Linked DNA regions of Macaca mulatta. The main gene of each other region encodes a partner of the protein of the gene in region 5 in a complex. Links are inferred from orthologs where the notes say so. Each region holds a gene or a part of one and is shown on either strand. Other genes may lie near its edges. The genes, in order: STRIP1, STK25, STK26, STK24 and STRN4.

Evidence for each region.
Region 1: STRN4 (region 5) and STRIP1 share a complex: the UniProt entries of both Homo sapiens proteins name them as parts of the core of STRIPAK complex. The link is inferred for Macaca mulatta from reciprocal best matches to the Homo sapiens genes STRN4 and STRIP1.
Region 2: STRN4 (region 5) and STK25 share a complex: the UniProt entries of both Homo sapiens proteins name them as parts of the core of STRIPAK complex. The link is inferred for Macaca mulatta from reciprocal best matches to the Homo sapiens genes STRN4 and STK25.
Region 3: STRN4 (region 5) and STK26 share a complex: the UniProt entries of both Homo sapiens proteins name them as parts of the core of STRIPAK complex. The link is inferred for Macaca mulatta from reciprocal best matches to the Homo sapiens genes STRN4 and STK26.
Region 4: STRN4 (region 5) and STK24 share a complex: the UniProt entries of both Homo sapiens proteins name them as parts of the core of STRIPAK complex. The link is inferred for Macaca mulatta from reciprocal best matches to the Homo sapiens genes STRN4 and STK24.

The regions. Positions count from the first base shown.
Region 1 is NC_133406.1:130,141,201-130,143,950, reverse strand, and holds the end of STRIP1 (striatin-interacting protein 1), read left to right. Parts: intron 1-988; coding exon 989-1,236; 3' UTR 1,237-1,973; downstream 1,974-2,750. UniProt on the Homo sapiens protein: Plays a role in the regulation of cell morphology and cytoskeletal organization. Required in the cortical actin filament dynamics and cell shape. Part of the striatin-interacting phosphatase and kinase (STRIPAK) complexes.
Region 2 is NC_133417.1:146,790,439-146,793,803, reverse strand, and holds part of STK25 (serine/threonine-protein kinase 25), read left to right. Parts: intron 1-59; coding exon 60-168; intron 169-923; coding exon 924-1,081; intron 1,082-1,149; coding exon 1,150-1,353; intron 1,354-1,558; coding exon 1,559-1,704; intron 1,705-1,993; coding exon 1,994-2,108; intron 2,109-2,516; coding exon 2,517-2,588; intron 2,589-3,365. UniProt on the Homo sapiens protein: Oxidant stress-activated serine/threonine kinase that may play a role in the response to environmental stress.
Region 3 is NC_133426.1:138,520,423-138,524,520, forward strand, and holds part of STK26 (serine/threonine-protein kinase 26), read left to right. Parts: intron 1-3,371; coding exon 3,372-3,602; intron 3,603-4,098. UniProt on the Homo sapiens protein: Serine/threonine-protein kinase that acts as a mediator of cell growth. Modulates apoptosis. In association with STK24 negatively regulates Golgi reorientation in polarized cell migration upon RHO activation.
Region 4 is NC_133422.1:93,279,934-93,284,506, forward strand, and holds the start of STK24 (serine/threonine-protein kinase 24), read right to left. Parts: upstream 2,953-4,573; 5' UTR 2,927-2,952; coding exon 2,885-2,926; intron 1-2,884. UniProt on the Homo sapiens protein: Serine/threonine-protein kinase that acts on both serine and threonine residues and promotes apoptosis in response to stress stimuli and caspase activation.
Region 5 is NC_133424.1:59,216,218-59,220,315, forward strand, and holds part of STRN4 (striatin-4), read right to left. Parts: intron 2,548-4,098; coding exon 2,444-2,547; intron 1,887-2,443; coding exon 1,813-1,886; intron 527-1,812; coding exon 448-526; intron 1-447. UniProt on the Homo sapiens protein: Calmodulin-binding scaffolding protein which is the center of the striatin-interacting phosphatase and kinase (STRIPAK) complexes.

The DNA.
Region 1 (2,750 bases), on a different chromosome or scaffold from region 5:
CACCATGTTAGCCAGGCTGGTCTCGAGTTCCTGGCCTCAAGTGATCCACCCGCCTCGGCCTCCCAAAGTGCTGGGATCACAGGCGTGAGCCACTGTGCCTATCCTTCTCAGGTGGTTCTTGAACTCCTGGGTTCAAGGGATCCACCTGCCTTGGCCTCCCAAAGTGTTGGGATTACAGGCATGAGCCACTGCGCCCGGCACCCTAGTGAATCTTTTCAACATGCAGCTTCTGTGCTGTTACCTCCCTGAGTAAAATCCTTCATTAGCTTCCTGTTTCCCTTAGAATTAGATTCAGACTCAAGCATGAGGCTCCCTCGTCCTTTTTCATTATCCTCCTCTGTAATCTGACCCAGCTTCCTTTTCAACCTCGTTACCTGCTGTCAGTCCAGCCTCCATCATACCCAGAGCTCCAGGCACAAGGAGTGCTTAGTGCCCTAACATAGCTGTGTGGTTACCACTGCTAGGCCTCTGCAGACGCTCTTCCTCCACCCGCAGGGTCTCCCCTGCCTGCCTGGGCTGCTCTGTGTGGGTGTGTTGCCACATTGTTGCGTTTCTGGAGTATACCACCATGGCTAAATGACTGTGTCTGTACTCTCAGTGCCTTGTGAATGTGTGCAGGCCCACGGTGGCACACGGTACCTGGTCAGGGAGTTGAGAGAGAATGAGCAAATGAGAGGATTTCCAGGTTCCTCCCTCTGACCCCAGAGAGCTAGGGAGGTTGCCACTTTGAGAGAAATGTGTTGTACACATGGCTCTCCCTCTCTGGGTCTACATAATCTCTACAGTATAAGCCTCTTTGTCGGTACTTCTGTCTTTTCTGCTTGTACTTGACTCTCCTTTGGATCTAGGAAGGAATTCCTAGAGCTCGGAGGTATCCTGCTCCTAGTTGACACTCAATATTCCTGGCCAGGCCCCTGAGCTGCAGTGAGTCCATGGGGAGCTGCTACAGGGCGTGGCTCCTAACTGTGTTCTTCCTGCTTTGTCTCAGATCTTGATGCCCGGCCTTGGGACTTCCAGGCAGAGGAGTGTGCCCTCCGTGCCAACATTGAACGCTTCAACGCCCGGCGCTATGACCGGGCCCACAGCAACCCCGACTTCCTGCCAGTGGACAACTGCCTGCAGAGTGTCCTGGGCCAACGGGTGGACCTCCCTGAGGACTTTCAGATGAACTATGACCTCTGGTTAGAAAGGGAGGTCTTCTCCAAGCCCATTTCCTGGGAAGAGCTGCTGCAGTAAGGCTGTTGGTTAGGGGACTGAAACAGAGAAAGGAGGATCTCAAGGTACCTGCAGGACTGTCCTAGTTCATGGCTGCAGCGCTCCCATTCCCCACCAGGTGGCAGCACAGCCCCACTGTGTCTTCTGCAGTCTGTCCTGGGTTTGGATGAGCCCAGCTTTACCTCCTATTGGTTCCCAGGGTCCAGCTCAGAAGCAGTCATCTCTGCCTGGGATCCATTCTTCCTTTATTTCTCTCACCCTCCTCTCTTGGACATGGTTGGTTTTGGCTCATTTCACAATCAGCCCAAGGCTGGGAAAGCTGGAATGGGATGGGAACCCCTCCACAGCACATCTAAATTTCAGGGGTCATGCTGATGCCTCCTGAGACACACAAATCCTTGCTTTGTCAGCTTGCAAAGGAGGAGAGTTTAGGATTAGGGCCAGGGCCAAAAAAAAATACAACGGTGTCTTGGTTGTGCTCTGGGGTGGGGGTGGGGGGTTTCTGTTGTTATTCCAGCCTCCTGCTATGTTATATGCAGAAGTAATTGCAGAGGCTCCTGCAGCTGCCTCCACACTTTGATTTTGGACAGGGACAAGGTAGGAAGAGAAGCTTCCCTTAACCAGAGGGGCCATTTTTCCTTTTGGCTTTGGAGGGCCTGTAAATACCTATATATAATTCTGTGTGTATTCTCCTGTGTCATGTTGGGGTTTTTAATGTGTTTGTGTATTCTGTTTACATTAAAAATAAGCAAAAATCATTCCCGTTGGCTTGTCTACGGGAAATATGGCCTCTACATGTCTCCTCCAGGTCTAGAAAGTGTTTTTTTCTGCTAGCATTGCTGGTCACTGCTTGTCTTGCCAAGCTGCCTGCCTTTCCCATCCTGGGGGAAGAGAAGAGGGAGTTGGCATTTATCCAGTGTAAATTAACCCCACAGTAATCTGGGATTACTCTCACCCAACTCCAGGGCACTATCAAGGTTACTTTACTGAGACATTGTCCTGCACCCCTGGGTTTGCTGTAATTTCAGTAGGAGCCCCAGGTTTCTCTGGATCACATCACTGAGCTGGCCTCAGCCAAACCAGTGTCAGTGCTAGAGAGGGAGGGGCTAGGTCAAAGCAAGGGGGTCAGCTGCTCTAGGTCCTCCCTGGGGCAGGTGGTTGGGACTGAGCGGAAACTTCAGTACTCAGAGCGTAGGAAGCAGACTATCAGGAGTCAGGTTCATGGTGGGAAACAATGTTGCCAGGAGCTAGGAGCCCCCTGTGGCTGAGAAAAAAGCAAGGAAAATCTTTGAAGTGGGTGTCAGTGGACACCTGGCGCCTACACTCTGGCCTCCAGACCCCTGGTTGCGTCTGCCTGAGAAGATATTACCGTTTTGATGCTGGTAAAAGGAGTGTTCCCTTTTTAGAATTCCTGGAAGCTCTTATTTTACCTGTACGCAGTTGTTTTATAGGTTCTTAAGTCTTGAAGGGTCTTGACTTGTAAAGGAAACATGTTCTGGGGAGAATCTCCCCTTCGTTGGGTCTTGTGTTCAGTG
Region 2 (3,365 bases), on a different chromosome or scaffold from region 5:
ACTCAGGCATTGGGCCTGGGACAGGAGCTGAGGCCCTGCTGTCCCACCTTCCTCTCCAGCTTAAACCAGGTCCCCTGGAGGAGACGTACATTGCCACGATCCTGCGGGAAATTCTGAAGGGCCTGGATTATCTGCACTCCGAACGCAAGATCCACCGAGACATCAAAGGTCCTGCTGGGGGTGAATGTGGCTCTTGTAATGTCCTGAGCCCCACTGACCTTAGAGAGGCTGGGGCCTGTGAGGGGCAAGTGGCTAGTGGTGCCCAGCGTCTGGGGTATAGAGAACCCTGTGGCCACCCTGAAACTGAGCAGTTGTCTTGCTCCATTTCCAGAAGATACTGTTTGTAACAGTTTCCTTGTACGCTGAGTAAACCAGCTGTGGACTGAGTGTAGGAACAGCCACGCTTAGCCAGAGTTGTTGGTTCCCGGTGGCTCACAGCACAACAGCAGGTGTAGGCTTGAGTAGCCCCAGCGTGTGGTCTGGCCCTGCTAAGTGCAGACATGAGGTTGGGCCAGCCTGTGGGGAGGGACTTGCCACCGGCACCGAGTCATCTCTCTCATGTAGGGGACAAGTCTGGTGGAGCAAGGGGCTTCCTGGCAGGCCCATGGTGGCCACACCCTTGATCAGGGTCACCTCTGTGGTAGCCCCCAGTGGGCGAAGTCACCTGTCGTTGGGATTTGTTGTAAAAGCCAAATGCAGGGAGAGCCCTGGAGCTCGGAGTGGAGACCTTAGGCTCCTTCTGGCAGTGCCCCTGTGGCCCTAGGTGGCCCTGGGTTTGAGAGTGGCAAGGAGGGCTGAAGTCCTGAGGACAGCCCTGCTGTGCCCTAGGAGGCCAGGTGGATGATACCCTGGCCCTTCTCAGGGGGCCCTGGGTGGAGCCACGTGGAGCCTGGCATGACGTCTGCCTGTCCTGTGTCAAGCAGCTGCCAACGTGCTACTCTCGGAGCAGGGGGATGTGAAGCTGGCGGACTTTGGGGTAGCAGGGCAGCTCACAGACACACAGATTAAGAGGAACACGTTCGTGGGCACCCCCTTCTGGATGGCGCCTGAAGTCATCAAGCAGTCGGCCTATGACTTCAAGGTGGGTGCAGTGGGTGGGCGGGCGGGTGCGGGCACCACGCCTGACTGGGGTGCTCAGGGCAGCGACAGTCCTTGTGTTCTGTCCAGGCCGACATCTGGTCCCTGGGGATCACGGCCATCGAGCTGGCCAAGGGGGAGCCTCCAAACTCTGACCTCCACCCCATGCGCGTCCTGTTCCTGATTCCCAAGAACAGCCCTCCCACACTGGAGGGCCAGCACAGCAAGCCGTTCAAGGAGTTCGTGGAGGCCTGCCTCAACAAGGACCCCCGATTCGTAAGGCCCGCCTCTGGCCTGGCCCCTTCTGGATGGGCATATGGAGGGAGGGCATTTGCTTGGGGTGGGCAGCACAGCCCGGAGGCCTAGGCCCCCCAGCCTTGTAGCCGTGAGGACCTGCCCCAGTCCAGGCTGCCTCACATTTGCTTTCCTGAGGCAGAGCTTGGCTGGGCCCAGTGACCGATGTTCCCCTGACCCCGCACAGCGGCCCACAGCCAAGGAGCTCCTGAAGCACAAGTTCATCACACGCTACACCAAGAAGACCTCCTTCCTCACGGAGCTCATCGACCGCTATAAGCGCTGGAAGTCCGAGGGGCATGGCGAGGAGTCCAGCTCCGAGGACTCTGACATGTAGGGGCCTGGTTTATCCTCATGGTGACCCTCGGTGTTGTGACGTGGGTGGTCCCCACTCCAGAAGCAGGGGCGTGGGCTCTAGGGGTGAGAGTGACCAGATATAGTATTGGGCAGGGACCCCCTTAAGGCTACAGGACAGGGCCTGCTGAGGCATCAGTTGGACTCCGTGGCCTGGCAGAGCGCCGCCCAGTACCTCGGGTTTCCCTTGGCCGTGAGGTGTGCCCTGAGGCCCTTGTGCCTCCTGGCTCTCCCCCCACTGACCCTGGCAACTCTTCATCCTCTTCAGTGATGGCGAGGCGGAGGACGGGGAGCAGGGCCCCATCTGGACGTTCCCCCCCACCATCCGGCCGAGTCCACACAGCAAGCTTCACAAGGGGACGGCCCTGCACAGCTCACAGAAGGTCTGTTCCCGGCCTGGCCTCTGCCTGCTGTGCACCCCTGGGGCTGGGTGCGGGACCCAGCTTTGTCCACCCAGTGTCTGGGGCTTGGACAAGGAGCTTGGGAAAGGCAGGGGTGGTCTGAAGCCCACTGTGGCACTGGGCCTGGTGTGGAGACCCCAAGCCCCAGCATGTGCTGGGAAGATGAGGGCCTGTTAGGAGCCAAATTTGTGAGGAGAGGGTGGGTGGGAGTTGTAAGCCCTGAGTCAGGCCATCTGGGTGGCTTGATGGTTTTGGGGCCAGCCCTGGGCATGTGCCATGACAGGCTGCTCCCAGTCTCCATCCCTTCAAGGCTAGAGCCTGAAGGGATGGGAGTGCCCTGCCTGTCGCCTGCACTGCCCTGCTCACCCTGGGCCTCCACTTCCTTTGCAGCCCGCAGAGCCTGTCAAGAGGCAGCCAAGGTCCCAGTGCCTGTCCACGCTGGTCCGGCCTGTCTTCGGAGAGGTGAGAAGGGGGCTGGGGCTGGGGCTGGGGCTGGAGCCCCGCCAGGGACGAGGCTGGGACGCTGCTCCGCGGGGATGTCCCCTCACAGTGCCGTGGGGCAGTCTCAGCTTCTAGGTTTCCTGCAGCTGATTATGGGCTGGGTTTCCTGAGTAGAAGGAGCAGAATCTGCTGTGATGACCTTTTGTACTCCCAGACCTGCCAAGGTCCTCTGGGTTCCCAGAGCGACTTTTGTTTTCTTCAAGTGCAAACACAGATGACCCTTCTATAGAGAAAGCAGAGAAGATGTAGTCGGGGTCCATCCAGGGCAGGTGCCTCCCTGGTTAGTCACATGACCTTGCATCAGCGTCACCTGCTAATGGGCAGTCGGCACCATTCTCAGAGATGTGATGCAGCCAGGAGCTCTGTGCCCAGGGCGTGGCCAGTGGGCTTGGGCCCAGGTGTGCTCTCCAGGAGCCCCTCCTGGAGCCTGGGGAGGATGGAGGATGTGGGTGAGAGGTGGTGACAGGAGAGCCTGCCTGAGGATGGCAGAGGGTGGAGCAGTCGAGGGACACTGGCCCCAGCCCATGTGGAGGCCCCAGTGAAGCAGCCACTCAGGCCCAGGTCCCGGGCAGCCTGCTGACCTAGCCACAGCCCCCGAGGGTGGGTGACACCCGGTGACAGAGGCTCGGAGCTGGTGTCTTGATGGAGGTCAGATCTGGGCCTGGTCGTGCTTTGGGAGTTTCTGGGCTTTGTGTTTTTGGGTCTGATCGGACCCATTCAGTGGCTTCCATGATCCTC
Region 3 (4,098 bases), on a different chromosome or scaffold from region 5:
TGGTAATGATACCTTCTGAATAAGACTTAAATTTCTAACAGTGTACTTAAAGCTGAAGAGTGCAAATTCAAGTTAAATAACAGGTAAAACAGGGCCAAGGAGTAATCTGATTGTCCTGAGGAGGTGTATCTGTGAGGTTTTCGTTTTTGTAGCCCTGTTTTGGTATGGCATGTGGAAGTCGTCTGCCATTAATAAGTCAATATGAGGTTAATTTAGCAGTTCCTCCTATTTGACACTACAGAACATAGAGCTCTTTTTTGGGGGCAGCTTTGAGAAGGCAATACAAACGCAGATAGAGTAATACATTGTGATTTTTGCAGTAGAGGTAAGGAATATTTAGAAATTTCAGTGTTTTTTATTATTATATTTAAGTTCTGGGGTACATGTGCAGAACGTGCAGGTTTGTTACATAGGTATACATGTGCCTGTTGGTTTGCTGCACCCATCAACTCGTTATTTATATTAGGTATTTCTGCTAATGCTATCCCTCCCCAAGCCCCTACCCCCTGACAGGCCCTGATGTGTGATGTTCCCCTCCCTGTTTCCATGTGTTCTCATTGTTCAACTCCCACTTATGAGTGAGAACATGCAGTATTTGGTTTTCTCTTCTTGTGTTACTTTGCTGAGAATGATGGTTTCCAGTTTCATCCATGTCCCTGAAAAGGACATGAACTCATCCTTTTTTATAGCTGCATAGTATTCCATGGTGTATATGTGCCACGTTTTCTTTATCCAGTCTGTCATTGATGGGCATTTGGGTTGGAATTTCAGTAATCTTAAACGAATATTTGATTTGGGAGCTGACTTTTCTCAGAGGTTCCAAAGAATGATGGGAATGATTAGGCAAACTAGATTCTTTATTTAAGTGGCTTTTAATTGCATTCCTTGGGATGTTTGCTATTTATTTACTTGATCTTTGCCCTTGTGCTAAAAACAGGAAGGAAACCTGTCTTAACAAAGACTTAGGATACTTTAGTTTAAAATGATGAAGGGGGAATTATAACTTTTGTATTATCTATCAGGGATTCACGATTAGTAAATGTGGCAGGGGTCTCTATCCCTTAGCTAGCTAGGGAAGTGAGGTTATATTAGTGAAATCTTGTTTTCATGATTCCCTCCACTCTGAAAGTTGGTGTTTTGTAGGAGCAGTGTTAGACCCAAAATAAAAGAGTAGGAAGTGCAAACATTGTGTAAATGATGGATCTTTCTTTTTTTCTGTGTCTAACTTGCTATTCCTCAATTTAAAATCTTAAACTATATCCATGGATTAGGGTTTACTTCAGTGCTTCTTTAAAATGCAAAATGTGATCTGGTTTTAAATTTTTTGATTTACATATTTGCAAGAACCCATTTATTGTAGGAAGCAAGGAACAGCCGTATCCTCCCTCAAGTTGACTGTTTCAATCAAATCCTTTTAAAACACTAATTAGGAAGATGAAGATTTCATTTTTGTTCCTTAACAACAGAAGATTCTTGTTTAAAGTTAATGAATACATACACTTCCCAGAGTGTCTTATCAGAAGATATATCCTATGTGTCTTCAAATAAATGATACATTTCCAAATTTTAGAATTGTTTTATAACTGTGTCAGGAAAACGGAAATACTTTTTTTCCAAAGGAATTTATAAGGAGTGAACCCATCACCAAACTATGTAGTAAGTATTTTTTCCACAAGGTATTACAAAACCAAGAACCATCACCAAAAGTAGGAAGAGGTAACTGTGGGTTAGCCACTATGTATTAGTAGTCACAATGAAATACAAGGTCTTGGTAAAAGAGGACACCAAGGAAATCAATAATGATGGCACTCAAGTTTTTGAGAAGGTATTATAACAAAATATGAGCATTAAAAATGCATTTGCAACCTACTGGAAGCCTAAACTATTTTTAAAAGCCCGTATGGAAAGCTCAAGATGTGTTTGTTCCATGTGGGTACTGGAGGTGGGTGGGGATACACAAGTAGCTTGCAGTTTCAGAGACTTCTATATGGAAAGTACAACTTTTAGAAATGGAAAAACATCCAATCAGAAAGAATGGGGAAGCTTATAAGGTAAACAGGTCATGTACAAACTGTATTTTAGGCTGTGTAAAAAGAGAACTTGGTGAAATTCTTTAAAAGCAGTCATGGGTCTTGGAGTTACCTCAAAAGGTAGTGGTTTACTGGAGTAGTAGTGTGTCCATTTGGTGATCATGGTGCAAAGAACTTGATAAGAGAAAAACAATATTTTCAGTGGCCCCTTTGTCTAATAAGGAAGATAAAAGGGACACGCTGACTCCATAATAGTCTTCTGAAATTGACGATGAAATGAAACTAGGTAAAATTGTAGTAAATGAACAGATATTCTATGTACAGTTGACAAATTAGACACAGATAGCTCACCAGAACTTGATAGAATCCTCCTATATTTTGAAGAAACTCAAAAGTTTTTGATTAATAAAGCACTTAATGTGCTTTTGGCAGGGTTGGCCATCTTGAGTTTCTACTTGATCAGCAGTATATTTCCAGCAATATGAGTTTAAGTAAGTATAAGTATATAAAGTTTGTCTTGGGGTAAAATTTTAATTCAAAATTGTATATTATAAGATACAGAATATTTCTGAATCAGGAAACAACAGTGAATTTATAAATCTAAGTCATGCCTATACATTTGTTAACCTTAAAAGCCTACGCTTATTCCAGATTTTATTGAAGTGTTAAATTATTCTGGATCTTCACTGTGAGATGAGTTGTGAAAGTTCAATGTATTACCATTTTCTCATGATTACTAGCAATTAGTACAAAGGTATAGAATCTTAGTTCAACTATTGATGATAACATTTCACATAGATAAGATTCCAACTAAAGAAAAATAAAGACCTGTAAAGCCTGGAGTCTTTTGCGGTCTGTATTATTTAGATGGCGGTTTGGAAGTAGAGCTAAGATGATTGGGATATGCGAGTTGGAGAGAGAGGAGAGTTAAAAGGTAATATTGGCAGAATGTTAGAAACTTAAAACAGTTCACCTTAGCTTAGGTTAGATATTCTCCCACTATTGCTACATTTGCATTAATGTGTAAACTGTGTATAATCAGCAGCTTTATTCCAAAAAGTGCCTGATGTTTTGGCATGCACCGATTGTATTTGCTGTGTGAGAATGTTTGTGGTAGCAGGATCAGCTAAGCTCAGTTAGTGTGTGTGTTTCACTAGAATATGGACTAGCTGCCTGTTTGGGATTACAGTTGTTCTAACAAAGCACATATGGGGAGTCAAAGAAGTTTGTATGCTTTTACAAAAATTTGTTATTGTCTTATGTGATTTAGTTTCCTTCATTAAAAAAATCTGATTCAAAACGTTTGTGTTCTTTCTTTTTCTCTCTCCCCACTCCCTTTAGAATAACATAGCTGATCCAGAAGAGCTGTTCACAAAATTAGAGCGCATTGGGAAAGGCTCATTTGGGGAAGTTTTCAAAGGAATTGATAACCGTACCCAGCAAGTCGTTGCTATTAAAATCATAGACCTTGAGGAAGCCGAAGATGAAATAGAAGACATTCAGCAAGAAATAACTGTCTTGAGTCAATGTGACAGCTCATATGTGACAAAATACTATGGGTCATATTTAAAGGTAATGTGTGTGCTGTATTATTTAAGTCATAAGGTATTTTCATTAGAAGTTTTTTAATTCTATTTTTTTGAAAGGCAATGTCTTAAATTAGGATTTGGCAGTCTATGGCCTCCAGGCAGAATCCAGCTCCATTTATAGTGCCAAATAAACCGTTGTTAGATTTAGCAGCTGTATCCTGAATGCATCCCAGTACTCAGCTGCACCCCTTTTCTACACCTGAACTTTTGGTTTGACGGAGGAGCAGAAATGCAGCTGGTCCTGGAGACATATCCTTTGTCAGGAAAGAGCTATCCCCCTGCATTTCCAGACACTATTCTCAATGGTCTTGACTGTCTCAACCTCAGAATTGATGGAACATGTAAGTATGTCATTTATTTCATTGAGTTGTGGTAGTTATTTACACATTTGTCTCCCCCACCAGGTTGTGAACTCCTTCATAGCAGGTAGTTTAGCTTAATCAGTTCTGGTACTTACATCCCTTGGCACAGGGTATGGC
Region 4 (4,573 bases), on a different chromosome or scaffold from region 5:
AGTAGTTTCCAATAACAAATCTGCCATATAATATACGATCTCACCTTGGTCAGTTAAGCGTCCCTTGGTCTCTACATCTACAAAATGGTATAATACCTACATCTCAAACGGTACCAGTAAGAATCAAGAGGCATAAAAATGATTTGCAAAACACGGAAGAATGGTGTTTATACTAACATGGTTGTTATTTTTCAAGCATCCTTGCCTAGGCCACCTAAATTCACTCTGCCTTTTTTTTTTTTTTTTTTTTTGAGATGGTGTCTGGCTCTGTCGCCCAGGCTGAGGTTCAATGGCATGATCTCAGCTCAATGCAACCTCCGGGTTCAAGCGATTCTCCTGCTTCAGCCTCCTGAGCAGCTGGGACTACAGGCCTGTGCCACCACGCCCAGCTAATTTTTTTGATTTTTAGTAGAAACAGGGTTTCACCTTGTTAGCAAGGATGGTCTCAATCTCCTGACCTCATGATCCGCCCGCTCCGGCCTCTCAAAGTGCTGGATTACAGACTCTGCTGTCTTTCTAAGCCAACTCCTTATAAGCCCTGGTCAGGAGACAAGAAAAAGGGGGGGCTATGAGGCCTATCAGGGCAAGCCATAGAAGATATGGACTTCTCTCCTCCCATTTAGCAGACAACAGTTGAAAGCGGGTGTGCTTTTAATTGAATCTTCAGCAACAACTCTTAGGGAAGCCTCCCAGGGCAGCAGCAACTGCTAATTTGAAGTAGAAAATAAATGTGCTTGTTGTTTTTCTTTTGGGGGATGGGGAAGGAGAAAAGAATGTTCTTCCCCAAATGATACACTTTGTTACCATACAGTCTGTAGATGTACTTAGGTACAGGAATGACTGGCAGAAGCCAACTTTCCTACCTCTAAAACTGTAAAACTGTTAACAGCTGAAAATCTGATCATCTTTTCTCCTGAGAAACACTTACCATCTTTCATACTGAGAAAACAAAAACAGTTCCCATGTAACACAATCTAACAGATACGTAACAGTTGAGAGGCAAAGTTATTAAGGAAATGTATCCTCTTTTCCCAAGATTTAAGAACTCTGATCCACTCAAAAAAAAAAAAAAAGGACAAAAATGAAAAGGTGAGATACTAGGTATCACCTGGTAACCATCTGATACTGACTTCACAGCACCAGCCAAAGGGGCTTTAGTACCTTTTCAAACTGATTGGCTATCCACAAAGGCCAATTAACCTAGTAAGTGAGGCATTTGTGCTAGACTCCAACCTGATGCACACGGTATAAATGTCAACCTAAAGGAAATATTGATAAAAGTTTTTTTAAAAATCATTACAAGAGTCCTTCTTGCTCGACTGGTAAGAAATTCGTTTTTTCACCCAGTTCACTCTGACCTACACACCTCTAAATTCATACCAAAGCGGCTTTAGGAAATACCAAGAAACCACATCTGATTGTTACCCAGCAGTCAGCAGAAGTTTAGGTTTTGAATGCATGCTAAATTCAACGCTCCTTAAACGAGAGTCGACAAAAGAATATTCTTCAAGCATCTTCCCAGTCACTCTTAAGATACTGTTACTGCTTAAATATATATATTTATTTACTGCTTAAACATTTATATACACACATATATATACTGCTTATAATACACAGTTGGAGTAAAATTCTAGCTGCCATTAAAGCGGTAACTTTGAGTTCTTATATTTCCAGAATTCAAACGTGAACAGTGAAATCCAGTTTTCTTTTTATGGTTTCAAAAAAAGAAGGGAGAGGGATGATCTCACTGGAAAACGCGGGCAGACTCCAGAGGCAGTCCCAGGTCTGGGCACTGTGCTTCTCAGCCCTCAACACACAGGGAATGAGCCTGTTGGTATCTATAAGTCAACCGGTAATCTACTTGGATGCTTCTGGTTTTCTTCGAACACTTAACGTTCACTCAGCTAGACTGGGAGAGCAAACTTTCCTGACATATCCTAATTGTATCCTAAGATTTCAATCCTAAGCATTTTGCCACCATTTCTGCGCCTACAAACTTTACAAGAGTTAGCCAAGGACGGTGGTTTTGTTTTTCAAAGGGCTAAAAGCAGTCCCCAATGGCAACAAAAACAACAAAAAACCTTTAACTTATACATGTAAATTTGAAATTCAACTCCTCCCCCATCCCTCAAAAAGTCGCTGGTAGGCCAAGATGTCACCAAGTACCGAAGGAGAGGTTTACTGGGCGAAGAACTCCTGTAAATGCAACCAAGTCTCAAAGTGAAAGGCCCGGGACCCTGGTGTGCGGCTGTGCGAGGGATTCCTCCTTCCAAAAGGTCTGCAGCTCGCACTTCCCCCCAGTCCGCAGGTGCAAGGCCACTCCAAGTGGAACTCGCGGTTACACCTTCCTCCACTCCGCCCTGCCTACTCCGCTCGGGCCCGGACGAGTCCAGGCGCGCTCCCCGTCCCCGCCCTGCCCAGGTCTCCCGCCCGCCCGCCCGGGGGTGGGGGACGAGCCTGGGGGGGCGCGTCCTGGGGGCCGCCGCCAACCCGGCCCGCACGCAGGGCCCAGGGACCCGGCGGGGGCCTCCAAGGGCATCCCTCCACCTCACTTCTCCCGGGGAGGAGGCCACCCAGGGCCTGCAGCTCCGGAGGAGTGTTGGGGCGAGGGGAGCGCGTAGGACGAGGCGCCCGCACCCCCACATCCGGACCCAGGCCGCGGTCCCTACGGCTCCTGCAAGCACACGCCGGAGACCTCGGCCGCCAGAGCCGGCAGGGACATCAGGGGCTCCGACTCGGACCCCCGGCCGAGCTGGGCGCGCGGGGAGCCAGGCTCTGGCGCGACCCCGGCCAGCTGGGCGTAGGGGGGCGCCGTGTGGACACCGCCAAGTTGCCGCTTCCGCCCCGGTCGCGCATCCCGGCCCCGCGGCCCGCGCCCGCCTACCTGCATGCCGGGCAGGCCCGACTGCACCGGGGAGTGAGCCATGGCGCTCAGGACGGCTACTTCCTGGCACGGGACGGCCGGGCCGCGGCGATCCGCGCGGGGCGGCGAGGCCCGCGGGCCGCGCGCAACCCTCGGGCGGCGGGGCGGCCGGAGCCCGAGGCCACCCCAGCCCCGGCGGGTCCCGGCCGGGCGGCGGGGGCTCAGCTGCGGGTGGCGGGCCGCGTCTCCATGCACGGCGCGGGGGAGGAGCTGCTGGGGGCGCGGGGCCTCGCGCGAACTGCCGCCGCCGCCGCTGCTGCTGGGCTGGAGCCGGGCGGCCTGGGCCCGCGCGCGCTGGCCGCTGGAGCGGGAGTGGGCGCGCACAGCCCGCCGAGCCCGCGAGCGCCAAGCGCGTCCCGTCCCGGCCCGGCCCCCGCGCCCGCCCCCGCGGCCCGGCCGGGGACCCCGCCCCGCGCTTCCGGGAGGGGGAGGGGAGAGGCCGGTGGCCGCGCGCGAGCCCTAGGCCGCAGCCGCCGCCGCCGCCTGCCGGCCCGGCCCGGGTCCCAGCTGCTCCCGCGGCGCTCCCACGCCCCCGCGGGCGGGCGGGCGGCTGGGCCGGGAGGGGGCCTCGGCTGGGGCGGGCGCTGGGAGGGACCGAGTCGGGGCCGGAGGCTGGCCGTGCGCCCACCGGGCCGGCGCCGGGGAGAGCTGGGCCGTGGCCCCCTCTTCACGCCAGCCAGCCCACTCCGCCCCGGCGATCCATGGGGAAACGGGCTCCGGGCGAGCCCCAGAGGGCAGGGTCAGGGTCCAGGGGCACCTGGGGAGGGAGAGCGCCCCGCGGGGCCTCGGCCGGTGGCCTGTGCCAAAAGGCCGGGCAGAGCTGCTTCGGTGTCTGGGTGAAGTTTCCAGCCAACCCAAGAAGGAAACCGAAAGGGGAGAGGCCGAGAGAGAGGTTGATTCCTAGCGCTTTGGTTACCGAAAACAGCCCCGCTGGGGCTGCTGGGCTGGGAACTTAGCTAAGCAGTGAGGAGGCTGAACCCCACCATCTCTGGAGTCCGCAGCAAGTCAGGAGCACCCACCCACGAAAAGGGGAAAATGGAGTGCAGAGGGCAGGGAGGAAGGGAAGAGAATGGAAGGAAAGCGCATCTGGACTTTGAACTGCAGCCCTCTCCGTCTCTTTCCTTTTCCTGGGAAGCTCCAGGCCCACTCAGCACCAGTTCTGTCTCCTCTTTTCAGCTGCCTTCTCTCTAGCTACTGAGGGGAAAAGTCAGGATGGAGCGGGTCCCTCGGCCTCCAGGAAGTGTTTTATTACAGTCGCAAACAGTAGAGCGGCAGCCACCCCAGTGATGACTCCCTGCCCCTTAGATTATAGGGACGCTGGTACCTCATTCATGCTCCTAAGTGGCCATTTTGCACCCTGGCTGGGCGAGTTAGGCAGACAAAATGAGCCCCCAAAAGTTTAAAGGCCTCCACCAAAGTAAGGAGTATTTCTTTTCCGAGGTGTCATTGTATTCCATCCACGAACATCAGTTTCGCAGGATGCCCTGGATCTGACACAGGGTAGGATGCTAACATCTAATCCCTTCTTTCCCTTTGGAAAGATGAATGTTTTTCTCGGAGTCCTAGGGAATACCTTAGAATACCTCATGGTTGTCTCTGGTACACCCATCCCTTGAGGAGCCCTGCCACCCCTAAGTAGGACTGCAAGGA
Region 5 (4,098 bases):
TAAAAATCTAATTAACAAATAAAAAAATAATTTAATATTACCCTTGGGGAATAAAAAGCCACACTTCATAAATCTTCACAAGGTATTGAAAAAAAAAAAACAAAGCCACAGGGCTCCTATGGCCACCGAGATAAAAAAAAAAAAAAAAGGCCACAAAGGGCTCCTATGGCCACTGAGATTAAAAAAATAAAATAAAAAAGCCATAGAGGCATTCAGGGACACATTCCAATGGGGGCGTTCCCATGTCTGCCTCCTGCAGTGCGTTTCCCTCCCTCTCCCCAGGCCAGGCTCCACCCACAGGGTGAAGGCCACTCCAGCCATGGCGGGCTAAGATACTGATAGTTCAGCGTCCCCACTGGGTACACAAAAGGACTGTGGAGCCTTTGGACTTCTCTCTCAAGCCAAATGTGCCATGTGTCCCCAGCCCCACTCCCCAAGCACACTCACTGTCGGAGAAGCTGCCGCCCCTCCTTCCACACCAGCGGGCTGTTCTCCAGGGTGACCGATTCCACGGGGCCATTGGAGACTGGCGGGTGAGAGAACGGAGGCTGTCTTAGTCGGGCCACTGCCACCTACCCATCATCTCCTCCATCCTCCTCACCCCTCCAACCCAAATCGGTCACTGTCACGGGTCCTGTGGCGTCACTTCCTGAGTGTTGGAACCCTGCTCTCTTCCCCCACGTGGGGATGCCTCCTCCTTGAAGCGGTCCTCATCTCTAGGTCTCCTGACTGGTGGTTCCCCAAACTGGCCCCCGACAAGAAAAGGGCTTTTTCTCAAAACTCTGGGCGAGTTGTCATTTTCCTTCACAGAAAGCTGGCCTGGTTCTGAGAGTAGGGCCGACCGGGTTCAAGCCCGGCTCTGCCCCATCCCAGCTGTGTGACCCTGAGTTAGGGTGAGCGGTGTCAGTTTTGTCCTCTGAGAAATGAGCTTAATGATAACAGCATCTCCCTCTTGGGAGTGCTGGGAGGATGCAATGAGGTAATTTGCTTAGTATTTTATTCAAGTCTTTTCTGGGCATCTACTTCGTGCCTGGCTAGGGACCTGGGCTACCCGGGTCAACAAAGACCTGCCCCTGTGGAACTTCCGTTCCAGTGAGAAGAGCTGGCAGCAGGTAACGACCATCACTATCAGCTGAGCATACAAGGTCTTCTCAGCTTGCCTCAGCCAAGCTTCCCCTCACCTGGCCCGCCCTCCCACATCCTCTGCCCTACACCGTTTGCCCAGTCACAGTGACCGACTCCCTATCCTCTAACCCGTTCAGCGTGCGTCTCTGCATCTGTGCTGTCTCCCCTGACTCTCCTGCTGGGGAACAGAGTCATCTTTCAAGGAGCTTAGACTCTAAGGGACCAGAGGGTAGGAACCACATCTCCCGTGCTCTCTGCTGTATTCCTGATCTGTGATACAAAGCCTGTACCCCACAAATAAAGTCTTTTTGGATGAACGACTGAATGGCAACTCTGTTCAAACGCCACCTCCTCAGTGACGTCTTCCCCGGCTTTCCCGCACCGTCCCCGGCAGTCTATAAATAGTCCTGGCGCCCACTCCTCGCAAAGGGATCCCGTGAGCTGCTCATGTGTCTGCCTCTGTTGCACAGGGGGACGGCAAGCAGGACTGGCCCCCAGGGTCCAGCACAGGACCTGGCAGCCCATGGGGAGGACTCTGAGAGTGAGAATCCGCCCCTCCCCAGCCCCGGGGCCGATTCTGCCTTCTAAGGAGCAAAGTGAGAAAGAGGCACCCCATCTTCCTGCTTCTCCAGCACACTCAGCGTCCACGGGAGGGCGCCGACCGCGCGAGCATCAGAGGGTGGGTACCTTGTTCTGACACATCTGCTTTCTTCTCCCCCTGGTTCAGGTCTGTACCAAACTTCAGTTTATGATATTTGGCCCTAAAAGAGCAAATGGTTAATGAATAAGAGATGCGGGAGAGTAGACAGAGTCAGCAGTTACCTGAGGAATCTGGAATCCCAAACCCCAAATCACAGGGCCTCCCACAACCGGTCTCCTACCACTGAGGCTGAAGCATCCCCCACACCCCTGGCCTGGTGGAAGAGATCACTCCCTAGAGTCAGGCAACCTGAGACCCCTAGTCTCAGGGGTCCTTGAAGAAACCATCAGCCCTTGAAACCCCAGTTCCTCGTCTGAAACAGGGCTAACAATACCCGTTAGGCTACGGGAAGGGGTAAGGGATAACCGAGGTAAGGACTATACAATATTTGGCGCACAGTGGGCCACCAGCATCGTGAATACTGTTTCTGGTAGACGTCTAGCCGGAATCCCACCTACCCTGTCTTGTTTCTCCCCTAGAACCTTATGGTACTGGAACGATGGAAAAGAATGTCGACCCCAAATCTCCCTCAGCTGGAAGGAGGCGTGGCTGGTGGCCTCCTGACGCTGTGCTTGAGATGGACCCAGAAGGCAGGCCCGGGGCAGGACGAAGGCTCACCTTTCCTGCTTCAGTGCGTACTCTAGCATCTTGATCCGCCGCACCAGGTCTGTCTTCAGATTCTCCTGCCCTTTCCTCTCTCCCTGGAGGAAGGCCACCTGAGCCTGGGAGGGCACACAGGAGGCAAATGAAGACAGCGGGGCTCAGGCTCACTGCCGGTGTGTCCGTCACTCATCCAGGCACAGTACCAGCCCACAGCCACCCCACAGTGATGGGTGGCAGCCACTTCCTCAGCACAAAGACCCCGAGCCAGGGTTCAGGAAGCACTGAGAGGACAGGCTGGATCTGTTTCCAGGGCCCCCTGCCACGTCATCCACAACGAGGGCCGAAGGGGAGCCCTTAAACCCTGAGATGACAATGGGGACAGCCTAGGCCTCACTTGCTGGCTGCTTTTGGAGGGAAGTCGGGTCAGGGATGGCAGTGGAGAGGAGGGTGGGCATTCACTGCCCTGGACTCCCCCCAACACCCTCTGGCAGGTGCTGTCCCTAAGGCTACTGGTGGAGGTGGTGTCCCACTATTCTTACCAGAGCATCTGTCTCTGGGAGGCGTGGGAAGCTACTTCTGGAGCTTTGGGACAAGAGTGGGTGGCTTGGCTCGGCTCCCGCTCCAATACAAAAGCTTTACAAGCCAAGCCCACTGTGGGACCAGCCGTCCCACTGCACTCTGCCCAGGGTGTGAGAGAAATGTGCCACAGACACGACTCCGGGTTCCTGCCAAGCACTTCACACCGTCTGCTGGCTTGAGTTGCCCTGTCTGCTCCAGTCTGTCAACAAGTCATTTAGAGACACTGGGCCCACTGCCTTCCAGGCAGGATCCTGGCCTCTGACCATGGTCCAGAAGCCCTTGTGCCAAAGCCCTGGCCCAGGGCTCATCTCTGGCTTCTCCCTAAGCACCCCACCATTCCAGCCCAGAACAGCCAGAGCTCCAGGCCCAACTTAGACACTTACTCGCTACATGATCTTAGGCAGGTCATTGGCCTTCTCTGAGCCTCCATTTGCGCCTCCAGAAAATGAGACTCGTAAGAGTGCCCTCCCCTCATGTGCTAGCTTCTGCTCAGTCCAAGGCCTGGCACAGAATAAAGGCTAACAAATGCCAGCTTCTACTTCTCTTATCACTTTTACTCTCCATGTACATTTTCTGCAAATCCAAAATGGGCCCAGTTCCTTACAGGAGGCAGGATCCCTTGGAGACCCCAGATCAAGTAGAAATGTCTGTGGATTGGCCAGGCACAGTGGCTCACACCTATAATCCCAGCCCTTTGGGAGGTTGAGGTGGGCAGATGACTTGAGGTCAGGAGTTCGAGACCAGCCTGGGCAACATGGTGAAACCCCATCTCTACTAAAAATACAAAAAACTTAGCCAGGTGTGGTGGTACACACCTGAAGTCCCAGCTACTTGGGAGGCTGAGGCAGGAGACTCGCTTGAACCTGGGAGGTGGAGGTTGCAGTGAGCCAAGATCGTGCTACTGCACTCCAGCCTGGGTGACAGGTCGAGACTTTGTCTCAAAAAAAAAAGAAATACATGTCACCAGTTACTTTATAGAAAAGAACCTCATCTGTCCGCTTCGAAAATGGGATTTTTTTTTCCCTCTTAACACTTTTTACCAACACATATGTATATAAACATCCAAGGCCAGATAGGGAAACTACTTATCT